Caenorhabditis elegans: one gene and its partners. The protein of the gene in region 2 interacts with the protein of the main gene of each other region in a pairwise test. Each region holds a gene or a part of one and is shown on either strand. Other genes may lie near its edges. The genes, in order: tac-1, brd-1 and ubc-9.

Evidence for each region.
Region 1: the proteins of brd-1 (region 2) and tac-1 interact in a two-hybrid assay, tested with the Caenorhabditis elegans proteins (2 studies listed by BioGRID).
Region 3: the proteins of brd-1 (region 2) and ubc-9 interact in binary tests that used the Caenorhabditis elegans proteins (3 or more experiments, as listed by UniProt).

Annotation. Positions count from the first base shown.
Region 1 is NC_003280.10:14,751,523-14,756,967, reverse strand, and holds tac-1 (Transforming acid coiled-coil-containing protein 1), read left to right. Parts: upstream 1-3,090; 5' UTR 3,091-3,092; coding exon 3,093-3,321; intron 3,322-3,384; coding exon 3,385-3,721; intron 3,722-3,773; coding exon 3,774-3,990; 3' UTR 3,991-4,077; downstream 4,078-5,445. Other genes in the region: Y54E2A.5 (uncharacterized protein), read left to right, coding at 1-144, 702-989; Y54E2A.4 (Activating signal cointegrator 1 complex subunit 3), read right to left, coding at 1,738-1,935, 1,983-2,203, 2,263-2,299; smg-9 (Nonsense-mediated mRNA decay factor SMG9), read left to right, coding at 4,479-4,709. UniProt on the Caenorhabditis elegans protein: Involved in microtubule formation, polymerization and assembly, regulating microtubule nucleation and length. Plays a role in pronuclear migration and mitotic and meiotic spindle elongation during early embryogenesis.
Region 2 is NC_003281.10:6,883,215-6,892,061, reverse strand, and holds brd-1 (BRCA1-associated RING domain protein 1), read left to right. Parts: upstream 1-2,557; 5' UTR 2,558-2,566; coding exon 2,567-2,628; intron 2,629-2,671; coding exon 2,672-2,731; intron 2,732-2,780; coding exon 2,781-2,949; intron 2,950-2,992; coding exon 2,993-3,168; intron 3,169-3,176; exon of another isoform or gene 3,177-3,259; intron 3,260-3,380; exon of another isoform or gene 3,381-3,471; intron 3,472-3,485; coding exon 3,486-3,545; intron 3,546-3,593; coding exon 3,594-3,771; intron 3,772-3,824; coding exon 3,825-4,133; intron 4,134-4,258; exon of another isoform or gene 4,259-4,346; intron 4,347-4,427; coding exon 4,428-4,641; intron 4,642-4,683; coding exon 4,684-4,884; intron 4,885-4,936; coding exon 4,937-5,034; intron 5,035-5,076; coding exon 5,077-5,192; intron 5,193-6,144; coding exon 6,145-6,304; intron 6,305-6,353; coding exon 6,354-6,414; intron 6,415-6,463; coding exon 6,464-6,606; intron 6,607-6,685; coding exon 6,686-6,787; 3' UTR 6,788-6,855; downstream 6,856-8,847. Other genes in the region: K04C2.5 (INSulin related), read left to right, coding at 458-578, 760-879, 933-1,018; K04C2.2 (DNA polymerase V), read right to left, coding at 1,077-1,267, 1,315-1,402, 1,447-1,638, 1,695-1,895, 1,942-2,133, 2,186-2,287; med-2 (GATA-type domain-containing protein), read right to left, coding at 7,035-7,559; K04C2.7 (Polyprenol reductase), read right to left, coding at 8,379-8,555, 8,738-8,847. UniProt on the Caenorhabditis elegans protein: Constituent of the CeBCD complex that possesses E3 ubiquitin-protein ligase activity.
Region 3 is NC_003282.8:4,647,338-4,653,164, forward strand, and holds ubc-9 (SUMO-conjugating enzyme UBC9), read left to right. Parts: upstream 1-3,706; 5' UTR 3,707-3,721; coding exon 3,722-3,775; intron 3,776-3,900; coding exon 3,901-4,023; intron 4,024-4,157; coding exon 4,158-4,248; intron 4,249-4,293; coding exon 4,294-4,447; intron 4,448-4,503; coding exon 4,504-4,582; 3' UTR 4,583-5,110; downstream 5,111-5,827. Other genes in the region: F29B9.8 (Serpentine Receptor, class T), read left to right, coding at 349-499, 686-899, 956-1,021, 1,076-1,135, 1,184-1,324, 1,553-1,715, 1,764-1,902, 1,948-2,159; F29B9.7 (Pheromone-regulated membrane protein 10), read left to right, coding at 2,427-2,467, 2,517-2,663, 2,730-2,807, 2,857-2,940, 3,042-3,155, 3,203-3,266; F29B9.5 (Thioredoxin domain-containing protein), read left to right, coding at 5,122-5,202, 5,252-5,317, 5,372-5,517, 5,572-5,734. UniProt on the Caenorhabditis elegans protein: Accepts the ubiquitin-like protein smo-1 from the aos-1-uba-2 E1 complex and catalyzes its covalent attachment to other proteins with the help of an E3 ligase such as gei-17.

The DNA of each region.
Region 1 (5,445 bases), on a different chromosome or scaffold from region 2:
CTGGATAAGAACGTCAGCGAGTATCGTGTCAGCTGCGTGTGGACGGGCTCCTCACAGCTTGGACAGTGCCGTGCGGTTCCGCCGAAGTACATGGCGGAAGTGTACAGCTTTATTGAGGAGGACGAGTGGGAAGAGAAGTTGCAGGTGGGGAAAGAGTTTTAGATTTTGAAGGTGGTGTAGTCGAATTTTTTTTTGCTTATTAGACTTGAAATTGTCTAAAAAACGAATTTCATAATTAAAATTCTTGAAAACTTCTCAAAAAAAGTTATGGCGGCTCAAAAAATTACTTAAAATTAGTAAAACTAGAAGTTCGACTTGCCAAACGGTTGGAAACTAACTTTTTTGAAATTACCGTCTAATTTTGGGTGTACAATAATTATCATGCGTTTTCAACTCGGTTTGAAAGGCCAGAAGACCTTAAATGTACCTAAATCGAGTTGAAAACGCAAGTTAATTAACTTATACATCCAAAATTAGACGACCATTTCAAAAAAGTTAGTTTCCAGCCGCTGACAAGTCAAATTTCAAATTTTAACGAATTTTATGTCATTTTTTTTGAGCCGTCATAACTTTTTTTTTTTGAGAAGTTTTCAAGAAGATTCATTAGGAGATTCGGCGTTTTAGACAATTCCAAGTCTAATAAAGCAATTTGTAGAAAATTCGCCTAGTTTAACCAATTTCTCACAGCTTTTCTCATTCAGAAAGTGCGAAACGCCATCGGATGTGACACCTCGGCAGCCGTCAACTTCCAGGAATTTGTAGAAATCAAGCCACCGAAAACGAATGGAGCTCATGGTGCATCGATTAGAAAATCCGGAGGAAAAACGAATACAACCGCAATTCGCTATGTGAAACGTCACAGAACATTGTCCGAATTCGTGATTTGCAATGATCGTTGTGTTCAGGGAGGAATCGGATATTCAGCCTCGTTGGTCATCATTTTGGCGTTGGCAATCTCGTTTTTTAAGAACTGTATTCAGGTCGAATAAATATGAGCTTTTTTTTGCGAAAATCTTTTTTGTTGTTTTTTAATTTTTTTTTTCTAAATTTTTGTCATGATTTTTTATATTTTGAAAACAAAAATAAAAAGGGCTAAACAGAAATATTATTAAATTTTAAATTCCCGCGCAAAGCGAGTGACGTCATTTTCGACATTTTTGCGTTTTTCCGGCTATTTTAATTGATATTTCTCTGTTTTATAACTTGAAACATAATTTGTGGATTTTTCAGACATTCTTTCGTAATGAAATTTGCTGAAAAATTGAAGAAAAATCAATTAAAGTCAGAGAACGCGAAAGTGACGTCACTTTTTTTACTCTGGAATTCAAAAAAAATCAGTTCTTTTGACCTTTTTTTTGGCCTGATTTTGGCTTTTTGGTCTTTTTGGCCTTTTTTGCGTTTTCCGACTGTTTTATCTGGTTTTTCTTTATTTTTCGTTATGTCACAATTTTAAACAAAATTTATAAAATTTTCAGAAATTTTTCCGTAAAAAACTTGTTGAAACTCTAAAATTAGCCTAAAATCGATAATTTAATTTTTGAAAAACGTTTTTTGTGGAAAAATGTCCGAAAAATTGACAAATTATGTTCCAAATTGTAAAAAATGGAAAAAAAATAAAAAAAACAGCCAGAAAACCAAATTCAAAAAATCAAAAAAAAATTAGAAAATTTTTATAAATTTTTTCACTGTTATATTCTGCCATTTAGAGCAAATTTTTAAAATTTTCAAAACTATTACCTTCGCCTTCGCCTGCCTCGCATGCTCAACTTTCGCCAGCTCCTGGCTCTTCACCTCGAAAACTATTTTATTCCGTTTTTCGAGTATATCTCCGGCTAATTCGAACAATTCGACGCCGAGAAGATCGATGAGCTCGCCCTGTAGATCCATATCGGAACGTGTCGAGCACAACATTTGTAGAAGGTTTTGGGATATTGTCTGAAGGAAAATAGGTTAGAAACTTGATTTTTTAGCCGAAAATCAACCTCAAACGTATCTGGAAAATATATAAGCAATGTGTCAGCAATCGGCTGAAAAATGCTCCCAGAGCCCGAGGTAGAAGGCACTTGGGGTAGGGAAAGAGCTTCTGGAGCTTCTGAAAAACCTTCTTGTTCAGCTTCACAATTCGACCATTCTAGAAATTCCGATGGAAATCGAATTTGAATTTCCTGGTGGAAGCTTGCTACCCGTGATGGTGAGGGTGGATCTGAAAAAACATCTGGTAAAAATTTTTTTAATAAAAAAATGGAAAAAAAGCTAACTAACCATCTCCAATTCGTTCGATATAGTTGAGAAGATCCATTTTGTACCTAGTTTGGCAGCTGTAAAATTAGAATTAAAATTAAAATGAAAAACTATATTTTTCAAGAGAGAAGGATGTTCAAACATTGTTCAAAATTTCGCAATTTTTGAAAAATCGATTTTTTTCTGAAGTTTTAAGTTTTAATTACTTTTAATTTCTATTTTGTTTAATTGCCAAATATTTTTGTTTTTTTCTCTGTTTTAAGGTGAAAATTAATAAAAATGAACAAAATAAGGTCCTGGCCGCTTCCCTTCTCTGACCTAGCGCTTTCTAGGCCAACTGCACTTTTATTTGGCGGTTTTTTATGCAAAAGTGTATTATATTAATTTTTTTCGCAATAAAGATGTGTTTTTAATCATTAAAATAGTTTAAAATGAAGAGAAACATTGAAAATTGAAAGATAACAAAAAATGTTTTTAAAAAAATTCTACAGTACTTTTTAAAGGCGCAGTCCAATTTTTGTATTGATTTTCCCGCCACGATTACTCTTGTGGACTCTTTTTTCGTGCTTTTTTTGTTGTTGGTTATGGTTTTTACTGATTTTTTTTGAATTAAAAATTAAAAAATGACTTTTTTAATTAAAAATTTGTTTCAATTATTTTGAAACCCTCTTGTAAAGCCTTGTAAAACAAGAAAATTGAACTACAGAAGTTTTAAAGGCGCATACTAATCTTCAAAACAATTTTCCTACCACGAAAATAAATGATGACGCGGGAAAACTGAAGAATCGTTAATTTTCTCCGTTTTTCACGAAAAATGTCGGTTTTTTCTATTAAATTCATCCGATTTTCAGATGTCGCTCAACACAACCTTCACCAAAGAGGACGGAACCGAGGTCGTCATCCCATTCAACGGGTCGCAAAATGGGCATCCGGAGAACGAGGAGCCAGAGGTTGAAGAAGCCGCGGAGCCCAGTTCTTCAGTGGAGACACTGTGCGGTGCCACGAGAGGCGACATCATTGTGATGAAGCACACGACGAAGGCGCTCACAGAGTTGATCGAGCGGCTCTTGCACTCGGATGGTGAGAAGCTTTGAAAAATTGCTAAAAGAGATTTTAAGAGGAATAAAACCATATTAATTTCAGAATTCGAAGTCCGTCGCTGCTCAAACGGCCAAATCATCTCACAAGGCCGCTGCAACGGAACAACGCCAGGAAACGGCATCGGAGGCGGCGGGGCATCAAGCGAGGAGCTCGAAAAAGCGCTGAAAGATCGAGATGCCGCCCGTGCCGAAGCCGACAAGCTCCACGCCAACTACGCGACACTGTTCGCCTCGTTCAACACGGTTCGCGAAGCCGCCAACGACATCCGCGGCGAGTACGAGGACGCGAGGGACAAGCTGAAGCTCGCCGCCGCCGAAGTTGACGAGTGGCAGGCAAAGTTCCTCGCCGTCAAGGATAATGCGAATTCTGAGCTTGAGAGGTGAGTGAGAGAAAATTTAATTTGCAACATGTAAGAATATATTTCAATTCAGAGCATCCGTGGAGTACGACGATCTTCTCCGATCCCACGATGAGAACACAAAGGGACTCCGTCTGCGTGTAAAACGCCAGGAAATCGAGCTCTCCAGCAAGAACGACGAGATCAAGGTGCTCACGAACCGCGTGTCGGAGCTCTCACAGATTTGCGATCAACTTCTGAATGATGTCGACGTTTCCGATGGGATGTCCGTTATTTCGACGGATGCATAATTTATTTCTGTAAAATATAATATTTCTTCCCCCCGCCTTTTCGCTTTCCGCCTTATATTTTCTAATTGTACATGAATTTTTCAGCTTATTTATTTGTTTTCCAGATTATTTGTATGAGAAACAAGTACAAAAGGCTTCGTTTCAGTATTTTACCGAGAAAAACTACAATCTTCTAAATTTTCGCGCCAAAGATACAGCGCCCGGTCTCGACACGAAAAACATTTGCCAAATGCAAGCATGTGTGCGCCTTTAAAGTGTACTGTAATTTCCAGGCCGAATTTGTTTTGATTTTTTTAGTTCTCACTTGTTTTTCCAAACAATTTATGCGTTGTTACGAGGTTTTTGTAATAAAAGTCAATAAAATTCCTACAGTAATCTTTAAAGGCGCACACCTCTTTTCAGACTGCCGCATGGATTTTGAGCGAATTTTTTGATTAAAATGTATGCAAAACTTTCAAAATTTCTATTAAAATCTTGCAATTTTCCAGATGAAAAAAGTGGAAATTCTGAAAACATCTCGGCCATCATCTGCAGGAGGCGCTGCCCGACCCTCCACAGCGAGCCCAACTCATGGAGCACCGAAAATCGCCATCAAAACACGTCCGGTGGCCGATGACGTGGCGCCTACCGCCGCTACGGTCATCGAGCCATCGCAAAAAGCGATGAAGGAGTCTGTGCGATTTTTGACGGATTTCGGAGAGATTTCCGATGCGATTTCAGTGTGTTTTTTATTTTAATAATTTATTATGGAGACGCAGAAAAATGGCTTCTTGAAATTGGAGACGTGAAAACGCGCTCCACCGAACTATGGGTCTCGTTAGGGTTTGCTCGTAAATTCAAATGCTTCCAAAATTTTAAAAATTAATTTGAAAAATGTTCAAGCATTTTTCGTACTTTTTCTCAATTTTGAAGCATTTTTTGTGTTTTTTCTCAATTTTGAAGCATTTTTTGTCAAATTTCTTAAGTTTTTTGTGCTTCTTGCTAATTTTAAAGCATTTTTCGTATTTTTTGTCAATTTTTTAAGCATTTTTCGTCCCTTTTGACAGTTTTCAAGCATTTATCATTTATAATTTCAACAAAAAATTTCAACACATTAAAAAAACAGAAGACGACGAAAAAAACGAAAAATGCTTGAAAATTGACAAAAAAAATTACAAAAATTGCTTGAAAATGTTAAACAAAAAACACGAAAAATTCTTGAAAATTGACAAAAAATTACAAAAAAATTCTTGAAAATGTAAAAAAAAACACGATAAATGCTTGAAAATTGAAGAAAGAAGCACGAAAACTACTTGAACATTGACACAAAAAAATTACAAAAATTGCTAGAAAATTGAAAAAAACATTACAAAAAATGCTTGAAAATCGACAAAAAAAGGTCGAAAAATCCTTGAAAATTGACAAAAAAATTACGAAAAATAGCTTGAAAAAGTTCAAAAACAAAAAAACGAAAAA
Region 2 (8,847 bases):
TGAAATGTGTTTTTTTTTTGTTGTTAAAAGTAAATTTAATTTCCTAGCTAAGCCAGTATCGAAATTTTCTTTAGTTTAAAATCTTTGTTCGAATGTATACTTTTAATAATATTATTCAATATTTTCGTGTTAAAAAGTTCGAATGATAATCAATTTTCAACATTCCTGTCTCTCAAATATCGCTGCAATCTCTCATAAATCTAACATTCTAAATCTAACTCGTAATCCAAATAAAACAATATGTATGGATATAATGAGGTCGTCGTTAATGTGTCATCATCTTATAGAAAGAACTATCTGTATTACACCCAGAATCCCGTTACTTTACACAGTTCATTGTGGTATTCAATGAACAATGCTTCTTCTTTTTCTTCTTTCTTTCATCTATTTCTCATCTTTTTGTTGAACTACGTATTAGTTTTTCATCACTTTGGCAATACTAAATTTGGAACTCAAAATGACAAAATGCTCAATTATTATCGGAATTTTTCTGATCGCGGCAATCAATGGACAAGCGTCTAAAAGGCGGATTCAGTACGAATCGGTTTCACAGTTTTTGTTTCATAACTCTAAATTATGTAAGTTAGAAAATCAATTTAAATTCAAATTTAATCTGTATTATGTAATAACACAAAAGAATAATCTTATAGTATATTTCAGAAATGTTGTAAACGATTTCTGAATTAATTCTTCATAATTTACCAGCATACATTTTTAAGATACAAGAAATTAAATATTGTTCCAACACTTTTTTTACAGGCGGTGATCCATTTTCTGATGCTGTCTGGCTTCCTGTACTCGATTTATGTTCTATCGAGTGTGAAATAACATCCGAATATTGTGTGGAAAATGAGGAACTTACACAACAATGCAAGAAATGTATGTTTTCGATGTTTAGAAGAAAGCTTGAGTTTTAAAAAATCTTTTTTCAGTACCGGAAGATTGCCAGGCTCTTCTCCGAAAAGCAATCAAACAAATTCAGAGACATATTCGATCACAAAAGCCAGTTTACCTTTAGATAATTTCTATCTCACTAATTTTTGTAAATTTGAACAATAAAGACTCTTGAATATTACCTTTTTACTCATCAATCTGAATTGTCCTTTTCCACGTGTAGCGGTCTCCATTCGATTCAAAACTTCTTTAGTAAATACTACAACAATTGATTTCACATCGCCTCCAAAATCAAAGAATTGAGTGACAATCGTGAGAATTCTATCGAAAACTTTCGTCTCGTTGCTTGAAAGGGCCCATGGCTCGAGAACTTCTGAAAATGAGAATTTATAAAAAAAACTTTTCAAAAGTATAACTTACTCAGGTACATTTTATCAAAACCAGATGATTCAACTGATGCTTTGATGAGAAGTGGAAGAAATACTTGAACTGTGGCGAAGTCACAGCGCTGAAAATAAAGTATTTATAAAAATTTTAAAATAGAAAACTAACCTTTAAAGCAGCCAAAATTTTAGGATACTGATCATCAGAAAATTGAATAGATCCGTCTTTCTTTACAAACTTTGCGTATTTTGCAACCACTGTTGAATGAGAATTACGAAGGCGAAGTGCCAGGTAGACATTTTCCGGTGTGAACTGAGAGCTGAGACCTTCCAAATTCATTTCGATGGCTGGGGATACACTCTGAAATTTAAAAATTAATATAGATTTGTTTTTGTTCAAACAGTAAATTGATTTACCTTTTGGAAAACACTTTCTTTTGTCTTTGTAGCCAAACTGCATAGAAGGTTAATCTGTGAAAATGCCAAGCTTGGAGCAAAGTCTCTGATTTTCTTCGAATGCTCAACAATTTTTGTAGCTTCTGCTTCTTTGAGTTTTCTGGTTTGACAATATGTGACAAGAATAAGATAATGTCCAATTGCATGTCCGGTACCAACAGTCTGAATCGAAACATTTAGTACAAATAAAGGAACTTACAATCCCAACCTTTTCTGCCAGGTCCATCTTTTTATCTGCAACGGCCAATATTTTGTCGAGTTCCCATGATTCGCCTGCTTTTGTCATTAAAATAGTACCCAAAGCGGTTGTATATCCCAAACGAACAGCAGCACGAGCTGAAGCACATCCAGAAATAAGACGTTCAATCACATATGTGTTGAGCTCGTTATCGGATAATTCCTAAAAAAATAACACTTTAATTAGGCATTTATTTCAGCTACTTTTTTCCTACCTCTTGTTTGCTTGAAAGCTGTCTAACTGCTCCTTTTCTGACTAATGGATCGAGCTCAGCAAGCTTTGAAATAATATCGAGTAATTCACTTGGCGGTCTCATGCTTAAAACTTAAAATTATAATTAAAAAGAGAATAAATTGACGAGAGGATCATTCTCGTGAATTTTCCAGACCAAGTAAACTGTATTTTTCTATAAAACACAAAAAATAAATGTAATTTTAGTTTAATGAAAGAAAAAGAAATAGAAGTAAAATATTTTGTTCGTAAAATAAAATGTATTCTGTGCGCACGCACCACACCTGACGCGCAAACAAACAAGTGCGATTTTCGAATTTTATTCTTTTCCTGTTTGATTTAATTATTGTTTCAGCGTCAAATAATGTTTGAAAACACTAAAAAAGCATTGGAAACGTTTCGAACAGCTATCGAGTGTGTTAAATGGTAAGTTGTTGTACAAGATTTTGCCTCTTAAATAAAATTTCAGCAAAAAACCGAGGGGAGACTTGCAATATCTCGGATCATCTTGCAAACATGCTTATTGCTGGTAGGTATTGCAACCTAATAAATTGTCAATAACTTCAGTTTATGTTCAGGGAATGTATCGCCACATTTCAACAGAAACCGTCTGGAAAACGCTCTTCAGTGGCTCGACACATGTGTCCGAGTTGTGCTTTCCCACTAGACACATCCAAAATCACAGAAGCTCATATGCTGAAAACGTGCTTTGATACTTTGTCTGAACTAAACGACCTTTTACAGAAAGTAAGTCAATGGTGAAAAGCTCGAAAATTAAATTCTCATTTAGGTCGGAACAACATCTCTAACTCAAGCAGAGTTTGCCTGTACACAAAACATTTTTAACAAAGAAAAAACTCCAGCTGATGCCGTAGAGAAATTCCTGGAGACGCAAGCTCATATGCCAGACGAGATGGGACAACTTGGTGAAGAGGATGATGATTTGATGTGTAAAGATGAAAACCGGTAAGTCGAAAAAATCTGCGTTCGGGGGGAATCGAACCCCCGTCGAATGCTTGGAAGGCATCCATGCTGACCATTACACCACGAACGCGACATATCGGGGATATCTTTCCGAGAAAACGATTCCCGTCATGCTTCTTCTACAAACCTGATGCGGTCTATTTGGTGGCTTCAAGTAGAAATGTCTCTTCATTTAATAGCTGGTTTCCCATGCCGCGTTCGTGGTGTAATGGTCAGCATGGATGCCTTCCAAGCATTCGACGGGGGTTCGATTCCCCCCGAACGCAGAACTTTTTTTCATATTTTCCCAGTAAATTCAGGGAAAATTCAAACTCTCCAGAATTGGATATATTCCACGACTACAGCAAAGAAGCTTCTCCGTGAGTTTGTTACATTGCTTCAATTAATTGAATTTTATTTACTTTTAGAACGCGTAATTCGACAAAACGCCCTTCAACTGTCAGTGTTCATGAGAGAAAACCCAAAAGGTCATCGATACTGAAAACTTCCGTCAAAAATGAACCGGCTGCGCCTGTAGTTGATCTTTTTGCATCGCAAGTTCCGCAGAGAACTCATCAAAATGATTTACTGACGCCGTTTATTGAGGTATGACAATTTCACTTTAAAGACGCTTCAGAACTTTAACGGAAATTCTTCAGCGTCGCTCAACTGCTCCAGCAGCAACTGGTGTTGCAACGTATGCTCAAGCTTTCGGAAGTAGCAGTAATCCAGTTAAAGCCGAAATTATCGAAGAAGATATTTTCTCGAAAGCGATTCCTCTCACAAAACGGCAAGCTTCAATGAGTGCGAGCGCCAAGAAACAACCAAAATTGGAACCTGAAGAACCAGAAGAAGTACCATCGACGTCTAGAAGTCGTAAAAATTCGATTAAATCCGATAAAATCGAACGACGATCTCAATCACCGATGAGTTTTGGAGAGAAGTCGATGAGTGTGAAATCAGAGCAAGTGAGTGACTTCAATAAAAGAGTTTTCGGGCGTTCGTCTTTCTACTCTGTCACGCTCAACGTCCACATTATCTTGTTGTCTGCGCCTCTGTCCCTTACTTAACAAGTCTTTGCATCACAGCACGCATGGCCTCCTTAGCTCAGTTGGTAGAGCGTGAGACTTTTAATCTTAAGGTCAGGGGTTCGAGTCCCCTAGGTGGCTTGACTTTTTTTTTTGAAAATTGAACTTGATCTCTACGCCTTCATTCCAATTTTCACATTTTCGCAAACTTTTTGCAATTTTTTAAATGTTCAGCGTCGCAGTTCTTATGGTACTCGTCGTGGTGAAGCTGTCCTGGTCAATTCAATTCGCAATAATCGTATTCCTCAACTTCGAAGTGCTGTAGAGGCAGGAACGTGCGTAAATGAGAAAGAAGACGGAAAGACACCACTTTACGTGGCAGTTGAGAATAGCTCATTGGAAGCTGTTAAGATACTTGTTGAAGCGGGTGCAGTTATTAATGCTTCATGTAAGAAACAACTTCTATCAACTTTCTTGACGAAGAATTCAGGCGGCTCAACATTAGAAACAACGCTTCACGAGGCTGTTCGCCGTCAAAATACTCAAATTGTTGAATATCTTTTATCGAAAGGTGCCAGCATCAAAATTCGAAATATTGCTGGAAAAACTGTCGAAGAAATGGCTAAAAGTGATCCGAAAATTAGGAAAATAATCGAAAAATTCAAGACTGAACAGAGAGTTTTACAGCCTGGTAAGAAATTTTTTGACAATTTTATTCTTCGTGATAAAAATTGAATTTTCAGTCGTCGCCCCTCCAAAATCTCGTCTTCATTTCGTTCAACTCATAGATGAGAAGATGCTCACTGAATCTGAAAAACGAAAACTTCCCGGAAAAATCAATGTAAAAACAATTAATTTTTAAAAATAAAATAAATTTATTCAGATAGTTCCTGCTGATATGGATTCTCCGACGCATGTGGTAGTCACCGTTGATTTGAAAACTCGTGTGCTCAATATTAACAAGGAGCATATTGGAGAAATTTTAAAAGCTATCATAAAGTAGGTTTTTAAAATTATCCTAAAAAGTGGGAGATAGTCATTTTGGGATTTTTAATGTCAGAAAATAGACCGTAATGACAGACTATAGCTGTTAAGAAATTAATTTTTTCGAAATTTTTCAAAAAATGGGCTACTTATTTTTAAATTCTCGCGCAAATAAATGGAAGGCATTTGTTCGTAAGAAAACGCATGATAATCAGAAAGAAATTCGCTGAAACTTCAAAATTGAATTGAAAGTCGATAATTTCACATTTATTCATCTTTTTTTTTGCTTAAAAAATTTATGAAAATCTGACAATCTTCGGAACATCAAGCAAAAATCACGAAAAGCGTTCGAATTTAGCCATTCATTTGCACGAGAGTTCAAAACTAATCAGAACTTATTATTTTTCCAAAGCTGAAATAATTTTTTAACAGTTATATTCGGTAATTATGGTCTATTTTCTATCATTCCTTCAAATCAGGTCGCAATGCATTACATATTTATTGGAGATAAAAAGATAATTAGGCACGAACACAGGCTCCTGCCACACATTTTTTTCCAACTGGACAGTCAAAAGTACAAGGTTCATCAGCATTTTCGTCAGTGATAACAACTCCACCACTTGCATGATTTGAAAAAAGACATTGTCCATAAACACAAAGCCTATTATCCGAGCAATCCGAATCAGTTCGACATTCTGCTTTCTTTGCATTAACATAAATTGAAAGAAGAAGAAGAAGGAAACACTGCAAAATTAGTTTTGAATATTAGCAAAAGTAGTATATAACTCACCAGAAACACCTTCATTTCAGTTTCACAGTGGCTCGATTGTATTATAAAATGCGTTTCCCTGTCTAGTTATAGACTGATCCCATGGGAAAATTGCAAACAATCGCAAGGGTGCAGTATGAGAGCCAAAAAAATCTATGTGAAAATATGAAATTTCAAAGCGGAAATTCATACTTTCAGATCGGGAATGATAGTTAGTCGAGATTGGCTGAGAGCGTGCATTATTGATCCATCGAAAGTCGATGATGATCGTTCTTATATGGTTCAGAAAGTTAGATGGATGGAAGGTGAAGTATTTGAAAATACTATTGAACAATGGAAGAAGACAATCACTAAAATGGTACGGATTTGATTTCCACTAAAGAAAAAAATACAACCAAATTTTTCAGCAACCAAAATTGTTCGCCGGTTGCAAATTTTTCATTCCAAAGCCAAAGTATAACTTCCTCGGTACGATTCTAATTTACAGTATTTTAATTTTTTCAATTTTCAATTTCAGATCGCCCAGCTCTTTTTGAAATTATTCGATCTGCCGGTGGTCAAGCTGCAGCGAGGGAGCCCATTATTGACGAAAAAGATCCACCGCCGTACCATAATGCCAACTTGAAACCAAACTTTGTGCTCTACAGCTTGACACATGATGTAAGTTTAACGAAGGAGTTTTCCTGTTATTATGGATTCGGTAGTTTCAGTTTGGTGACATTTTTATTTCTCTTTACAGATAGGAGACAAATTCCGCGACTGCACAAAGTACAATCTTGTCAGCGAGCAGTGGTTAATAGAGGCGATTCTTGGATGCTCCATCACAACACCACCACATTAACCATTTTCCGTTTTAAAATATTTTCTTTTGCGTTTCTATTGTAAAATTGCAATATGAATGATTATTTTTTGAAGTGTTATTTTATACACAACGGCATCCAATCCATGCAATTAAAGTTATGATGTAATTAAAATCGAGAACAAGATATAAATATAAGTTATGAGATCATATTAATTAAAAACAATTTACCGGCTTAAAACAAGAAAATTACAATTGAGTTATACAATTTACAATGATACAATTTACATTAAGAAGAATCTACACCATTCGTTTCCTGTACCTTTAATTTTCTTTTTTGATATTTGTTAACGGCAGTGACTGGACGAGTCTCATTATATTTCCGTTGATAAATAAAACAAGCATTACATTGAATTCCTTCCTTTGATCGAATATTCCTCCAACGAATTGTTTCAGTTACTGAACAATTTGAGCATTGAAATGACTTCTTATTATCAGAATTGCTCGGTGGAGTTGAACTTTGAGTAGAGGTAGATGGAGATGTAGATGGAGTAGAAAAATGAGTAAACGTGGTGAAATGGGAAGAATTAGGACTTCCAGTAGTTGGTGAAATATTTAAAGATGAAGAATCCATTGCAGTTGGATAATAAGAAGCATAAGTATTGACATAGTCATAGTAGTTATTATAATAAGAATAGTCAGTAGTGAAGGAGTATGTACCATTGAATGGAGTTGAATAATCATAGAATCCAACTTGTTGCTGGGTATTGTCAAAGACATTTTCAGCATTGAAAACTGGGTACGGATAAGCCATAGTGATAGAGAGAAGGAATAAAGTATGAATACTGACTCAAACTGATATTCTTTGGGCTCTTTTACTGTAGACCACACCCACTAGAAATGATGATAATGCTCTAAAAATCATCATGATGACAGAGGTGCAAGGTGGTCCTTCTTTACCTATTATCAGATAATGTAGGTGAAGATGGGCTCATTGTGCAATAGGTGGAGATGTTAACATTTCTCTAGGAAAGCAGGTGAAATCAGGACATGTTTCAGCCAACGTCTACAATATAAACCTTTTATGTATTTGTTTTCGGGCGGAACACAGCATGGCTTTTACTCGGAGAAAAGGAATCATATCAACGTGCCTCAAGTGTTGCGTGATTACTTGGAAATTGAGAATTGAATGGATAAATAAATTTTCCAAAACAATTTTGTATATGAATGAAGTGCTAAGGTTTTTTTAAAATTAAATTGCGTAAATGTTTTCAAGAGGGCCTACGCCTGCTTCATACCTACAGCAAGACTAAATTTGTTCGTTGTCATAATGAGATTTTTATAATCATCTAAAATGCTCTTCGAATTTGGGAATATTAGTGAATTCTAACAGTTTTACGTACTTTGGCATGTTTATTTTCTCACACTAACAAAAGTTTTATACAAGTATAAAAATATGATATAACAACTAAACAAATTTTTATTCGATGCAGAGAACATAGTTCAGATGAAGCAGAGGTGGAACACAGTAACCGTTTTTATACAAATATTTTTTGTCCCAGAGATTATGAAAATGAAGGGGGCTTTTCGTTGACAATTGAGTTTGAAACAAAACAAAAAGTTGAAATAAAATCTACACCCAAAAGGGAATCACATGTTTTCCTGTTCTACCAATATATTGAAATTCTTCATACCAATAGTAGTGCCAGAGGATGTAGTCAAAGAAATGATTGATTGATGTTCCAACGGCAAAATATAAAATCATCAGGTTCAGGTGAGCATTAACAGGATGGAACAGGGCAACCAGGAGCTGAAATATTTTAAGATTGCTCAGACTCCAGAATTTGAACTTTCCACCTAAAGGTAGTTCTGATATTTATCTAATAGATCAAAGAGTCTAACGAGACTTTTAAACAATTTTGATCATGAAAAAAACGACGACTTTCTTCCAGTTTTAATGCCCTGCTAGAAGACATAAACTGGAAACCTTACCTTATCTGCCGTTGCTATTGTTAAAATTACTAATCCAAAACAATACGCATTTTGAATTATTAACATCGGCCATAACAGTAAAGGATGTGGTTTTGGTATACATAGTGTTG
Region 3 (5,827 bases), on a different chromosome or scaffold from region 2:
CATTCATAACCTACTTCAATTATTTTTCTATTGATTAGCAAAGTTTGGCCAGACCAGTAGTTTTTTGAACGGTTTTTGAATAACAAGTTGAACTGTCGTCGCCCCTTGTTCTGACTTCAAGTACCTGTAACTTTTCTCAATTGAAAAAAAAGTTAATAAAATCTATGCCTTTTGCGCTTGTTTTTCAAAAACTTGTCACCTGTTTTCCAAAGGTTTCCATAGCGACCCTGCTTTCTAAAAGTTCTATGCTCCGATAACCTCATTATTTTTTGACAAACCTATATTTTTTTCAATCTTATTTTTCCCTACGACTTGATCAGCTTAATTCCTAACCAATACAATTTCAGAATGTCAGAAGAGACACTCGATTTCAGTGGGTCGATGCCTGAGGAGGTGCAAACTCTTCTCACAAATTCGGAGATGGATCCAGGACTTTTGTCGAATGAGACAGCAACCACGATGATCACAGATGTGATTAGTACAACCACAACCACATTGGGTAAGTTTTAGATTACCTAGTTTTGCCGACGCTGTGTTTTTCTTAACGGAAAATAGTCCTCTGTACGAGCTCGATGCATCGAATTTGACGTGCAAGTTTTATACCAACAGTATTGTTGACCGCGTTATTCAAGAACTGGAAGCCAGAAACTTTCAACAAAGTTTTTTCTAACTATTCAATTTTCAGCCCCCGTCCTTATCGGCTACCAACCTAACCCATTCCGCATTGGACTCCTCGCCTTCAAATGCCTGCTCATTATCCTAATCTTCACTTTATCCTGTACGATTCGTAAGGACTTCTTCAAGTTCTTCGTTCTCTTCCTTATCATCCCACTGTTTATCGAAGCTGGATTTGATATCTTCACCGAGATTCACGCCAGTACAGCGATCTTTGGGGCTCAGTGAGTTTGAGAAGCATTTCTTTGAACATATTCATTATTATTCAACTAGTTTTCAGACAGTTTGACTGGCAATACCTAAACCTTTCACCACGAGCGAACGACACTGTGACTGATTGGCAGAAGTGAGCTAATTTTAGATTTTACATTTGTCATACAACCAGTTTTCTATTTTTTAGGTATGCCGTCGACGGGTTCGGAGAGATCCTTCAAAAGTACACAACTTACCAGGTGTACACGTAAGATCGTTGAGTAGATCTAAAAGATTTTAATGACATAGATTCCAGGAAGGATCAACTCTTCTCGATCGTATCCTATGTCGCCGGTGATTTTATCTTCTGGAGTCTGCTCTTTTCGACTTACACGGTCTTTTTCTTCGCTCACAAGGCGATTGCACGTCCAGAGCAGATCACTTACGAGCCGATTGGGTAGGTTTGTTTTGCTAGGAAAGCTTCCACGATGTACAGGCGCTTAGGCATGCCTAGGCAGTCGCAATTTTTACCAGTTTTCTGGAGCACATCCCAGCTTGCTGGTGTGCTTCTCCATCTTTCTGGCACACTTCTCCTCCACTCAAAAGCAGTCAAACTTCTTTATAACGCACTTAATCCCCTTTTCTTACAAATAAAAAAAACAATTTAAAAAAAAACAATTTTCAGCAGTGTCTTCTTCAAGGCTCAAATCACTCCGGTAATCTTTACCGCCTTTGACACTCTCATCTCGATCTACCAAATTCCACAATGGGCTTATCTCAGCATCATTTCCAGCATCAGACTCACTGCGTGTATTGTCTCCTTCGGCATCGTCACCCAGATGTTCGCTGTGAGTTTCAGATGTCTTTCAGTACTAGAAGCATAGAATTGATTTCAGAGTCTCTTCTTATTCTGCAGAAGAAAGGACGAGGTGACGAAGACTTCTCCATATGAGCACGTGAGAAACAGCAAACTCCGTTTGTTCTTGTTCCTATTATTCAGTATCTGTGTTCATGTGCTTACGGCTCCTTATCTCAGTAAGTAACAGTTAGCAGACCTAGTGAAACCTTAGATCCTTTCAGTCTGGTCCGGATTGACCATCGCTTTTGACGTCGGTCAGCTTCTCGGCTTCAACTGGTACCTCCCAATGCACTTTGCTTCCGAGATGTTCCCACTTCATCTGACCTTCTTCTTGCTCAGACCCTTTATCTTCCTAATTCTGGCTCTGATCCTCCTCAACCCATACCGCCGTCGTTTTGTCAAATTCTTCTTCCCGTGTTGTAGAAGACATTAGGAACGATCTTTTATTTTTTTTCTGTAATTATTGCTTCCAACTCTTCTTTTTTGCGCCATAATTCTAAACCCCTGTGCCATTGGGCGCCCCCTCAGAAGCCCGGTGCTCCTTCGTTTTTTCTTTGTTTTGTTTTTTTTCAAATCGGAAATATCGCTCTCTCAGAAATTGTGATAAATAGTACACGTTTTACACGTTCCATATGTGCCTTGCCTTACAATTAAAAAATGAATAAATTTTTTTCAAATTTAAATCATTCTTATTTTTACGATGAGTTCGAAAAGTGGTGTTATAGAGTTTCCGGAAGACAAGTGAGTTTTTAATTTTTATTTATAAATTTAAATTTTTGACTCTTTGAAGCAAATTTGTGCATACAAATATGGCTGATTACACTACGGAATTGCTTGATGGTAGTGAGTCAACTACAAAGAGTACAGCAACAGACGAACCACCTAATCAATTGTTTTTGTCATCGTTGCTTTTCTTGAGCTCTGCGATTTGTTCTCTGTGAGCTCACTAGCTATTTTCTACAATTAAACAATAATGGAAAACCAAAATAAAATTTTATTCCAGATTCGCAGCTTCAATTCTAGTTCGTAGTTTTCCATTTTTCGGTTCTACTCTCTCTTTGGTGATCATTCTAGTAACTAGGTTGGCTTTGTTCATCAAGAAAAATAGATCTAATTGGAACATTTTCTAGAGAATGGAATAGGATATACGGTGGACTTTTGAGTCCAAATCTGAAAGCAACAATCAACTATTCGACCGTTATGAGAGATCACAGGTACATCTGAATTCTAGAAAATCACCTATTGTATATATATCCTATATATAGGCATATATTTTGACACTTAAAATAATTAAATTTCCAACTTTCTAATTCAGAGAATACATTCCGTTATACGACATGGACTGGTTGTTCGGAGGAAGATACAAGCCGTACTATTATGGATGCACGGGACCTTCGAACAATCCGGACATGGAGAGAACGCCTGATGAGTGAGAAAAAAGTTTTTTATTTTTTGAAAACGTTATCATTTTTGCAGCCCCGGAAGTCGTTCGCCGACGAAAGAGCGCAAGGAAGGAGAGGTTTTGAAGAAGGATGACTGACTGGGCACTCTCATTCTCACACATTTTGCCGCGAATAAATATTATTTGAATTTCGCGCCCTTCGAATTTATAATTTTCTTGAATATTCTTTTGTGTGCGCGCGAAAACTGCGAACCGTTTTGTAATTTTCTGTTGCATTCTGTCGAAATTAGTTTTCGTGTGCGACACCATTGCGAAATCGCGCGCCGCACTATGCAATTTATTGATCGATAATACGGGCGGTGCTCGCCCCCCTTTTCGTTTTTTGGCGCGATATCCTATTTTTGAACTTTTTCGAGAAATTTCTCTTTCTTATCGATCGGATTTCTGTTTGAAAAATCTAAAATAGTTCTGACAAGTGTCACGAACACGCTGTTTCGTTTGTTTACCTCTCTCTTCTTTTCTCGTTGTGCCTAAAACTTCACTGTCCACTTCTCTTTTACAAATTTGATATTTTTCAGTGTAACCGAACAAAAATGTCGGGAATTGCTGCAGGACGCCTCGCGGAAGAAAGGAAACACTGGCGAAAGGTGAGAATTTTATCATTACATGGCAAGTCGGGGCGATTTGTATTACAAAACCGCTTTAAATCGGTTAAATTCTAAAAATTATCGAAAAATAGTTTGTTTTCATGCCCAAAACTCAACATTTTCAGGATCATCCATTCGGATTCATTGCCAAACCAGTCAAGAACGCCGACGGAACATTGAACCTCTTCAATTGGGAATGTGCAATCCCAGGGAGAAAGGATACGATTTGGGAAGGCGGATTATACAGAGTATGTGAAGCTAGAATTCGGAAATTATCATTTTTCGTTAATTTATTGAGCTATAATATTCGTGAACTGTTTCTCTCAAAAACTGCTATTTGGAATACAACGATATTTATAAATCTAATTCAATTTTCTTTCAGATTCGGATGCTCTTCAAGGACGATTTCCCGTCAACGCCACCAAAGTGCAAGTTCGAGCCACCACTCTTCCATCCAAATGTGTACCCATCAGGTTATTATTGCAGTCCAATAGTTATAATTAATTAATTGAATTCAGGTACCGTGTGCTTATCTCTTCTGGATGAAAACAAGGATTGGAAGCCGTCAATCTCAATCAAGCAACTTCTCATTGGAATTCAAGATTTGCTGAACCATCCAAATATTGAAGATCCAGCTCAGGCTGAAGCCTATCAGATCTACTGTCAGAATAGGTGAGTTTTTTTTATCTGAATATTATAAAAAAAATACACAAATGAATTTATTACAGGGCTGAATATGAGAAGCGAGTGAAGAAGGAAGCTGTGAAGTATGCTGCCGAACTCGTCCAGAAGCAAATGCTCGAGTAGATGCTTGCTTCGTGGTAGTCGTCTATTCTATTCTCCTTTTTCCTCCCATCCTCATTTCATTTAGTTAACTATTTCTGTATGCGGCAACGATTGTTGACACAACTCGAAATTCGAGCACCGAAGCAACTTTTCTGATATCTTTTATTTCAATCTAACCAAAAGCTTTGTCGTGCCTGGTTTTTCATTTCGTGGTTGATGAAATTCGAGAGCTAGAACATTTCGATGACTTTTTCCAAATTTCGTGTGCACGCAAACCCAATCATTTTCCACTGGTCCATGGGCTGAGTAGTCTTTATTCTTTCAAAAGACTATTCCTCATCATTCTTACTCATTTTGATCTTCATCTTTCTTTTTATCCCGTTCTGTTTTCCATCTCTTTTCTCTTCCCCCCAATTCTCTTAAAATCAGGAGCACAATTTAATTGTTGACAAATCCCGTGTATTCCAATTTTCTAAATGGACTTGATTATATTTTTTTTCCCTCAACTTATTTGTATTTTGCAACTCAACCATGAACTGTTCATGTCAGATTCTCCAACAATGTCCGAATTCATGAAAGGTGTGATGCTTCTGAAGCAAGACTTGACTGAAGTTCCTGCCGAAGAAGCTCTGAAGGGCAAGGTGGCGAAATATTAGTGTGTAGTGAAAGATTTTAGAATATGACATTTAGGTTGTTGCTCTTTATTTTTCCGCGGGATGGTGTCCACCGTGTAAGCAGTTCACTCCGAAGCTAGTTGTGAGTGCTGAATCTAGATTTTCCGATTTTCCAATGAGTTTCCACACCCTTCAGCGCTTCTACCATCATCTGAAGAAGGCTGGAAAGCCCATCGAAGTGGTTTTCTTCTCTCGTGATAGATCAAAGGCTGATCTTGAAGAGAACTTCACCGAGAAGCACGGCGATTGGCTCTGCGTCAAGTATGGAGACGACATTTTGACGTGAGATTTATCATTTTTAATTTCAGAGTCTCAAAAATAAATCATAATTTTCAGACGATATCAATCAAAGTTCGAGATCAAGACGATCCCAGTGCTCCGAGTGATCAACGCAGCCGGCAAGATGGTCGTTGTGGATGGGAAGTCGGAGGTCGTCGACAAGGGAAAAGCCGACCCACAGGGACTCTTCGCTGCGTGGGAGGCAGCATGCAACAAGTGAAAATGTATATAATTATTTTCCATTTATTTAAACATTTATCTAGTAATTTTTTAAATAGATTTTTCCTACTAATAAATAATTAATTATCACGTA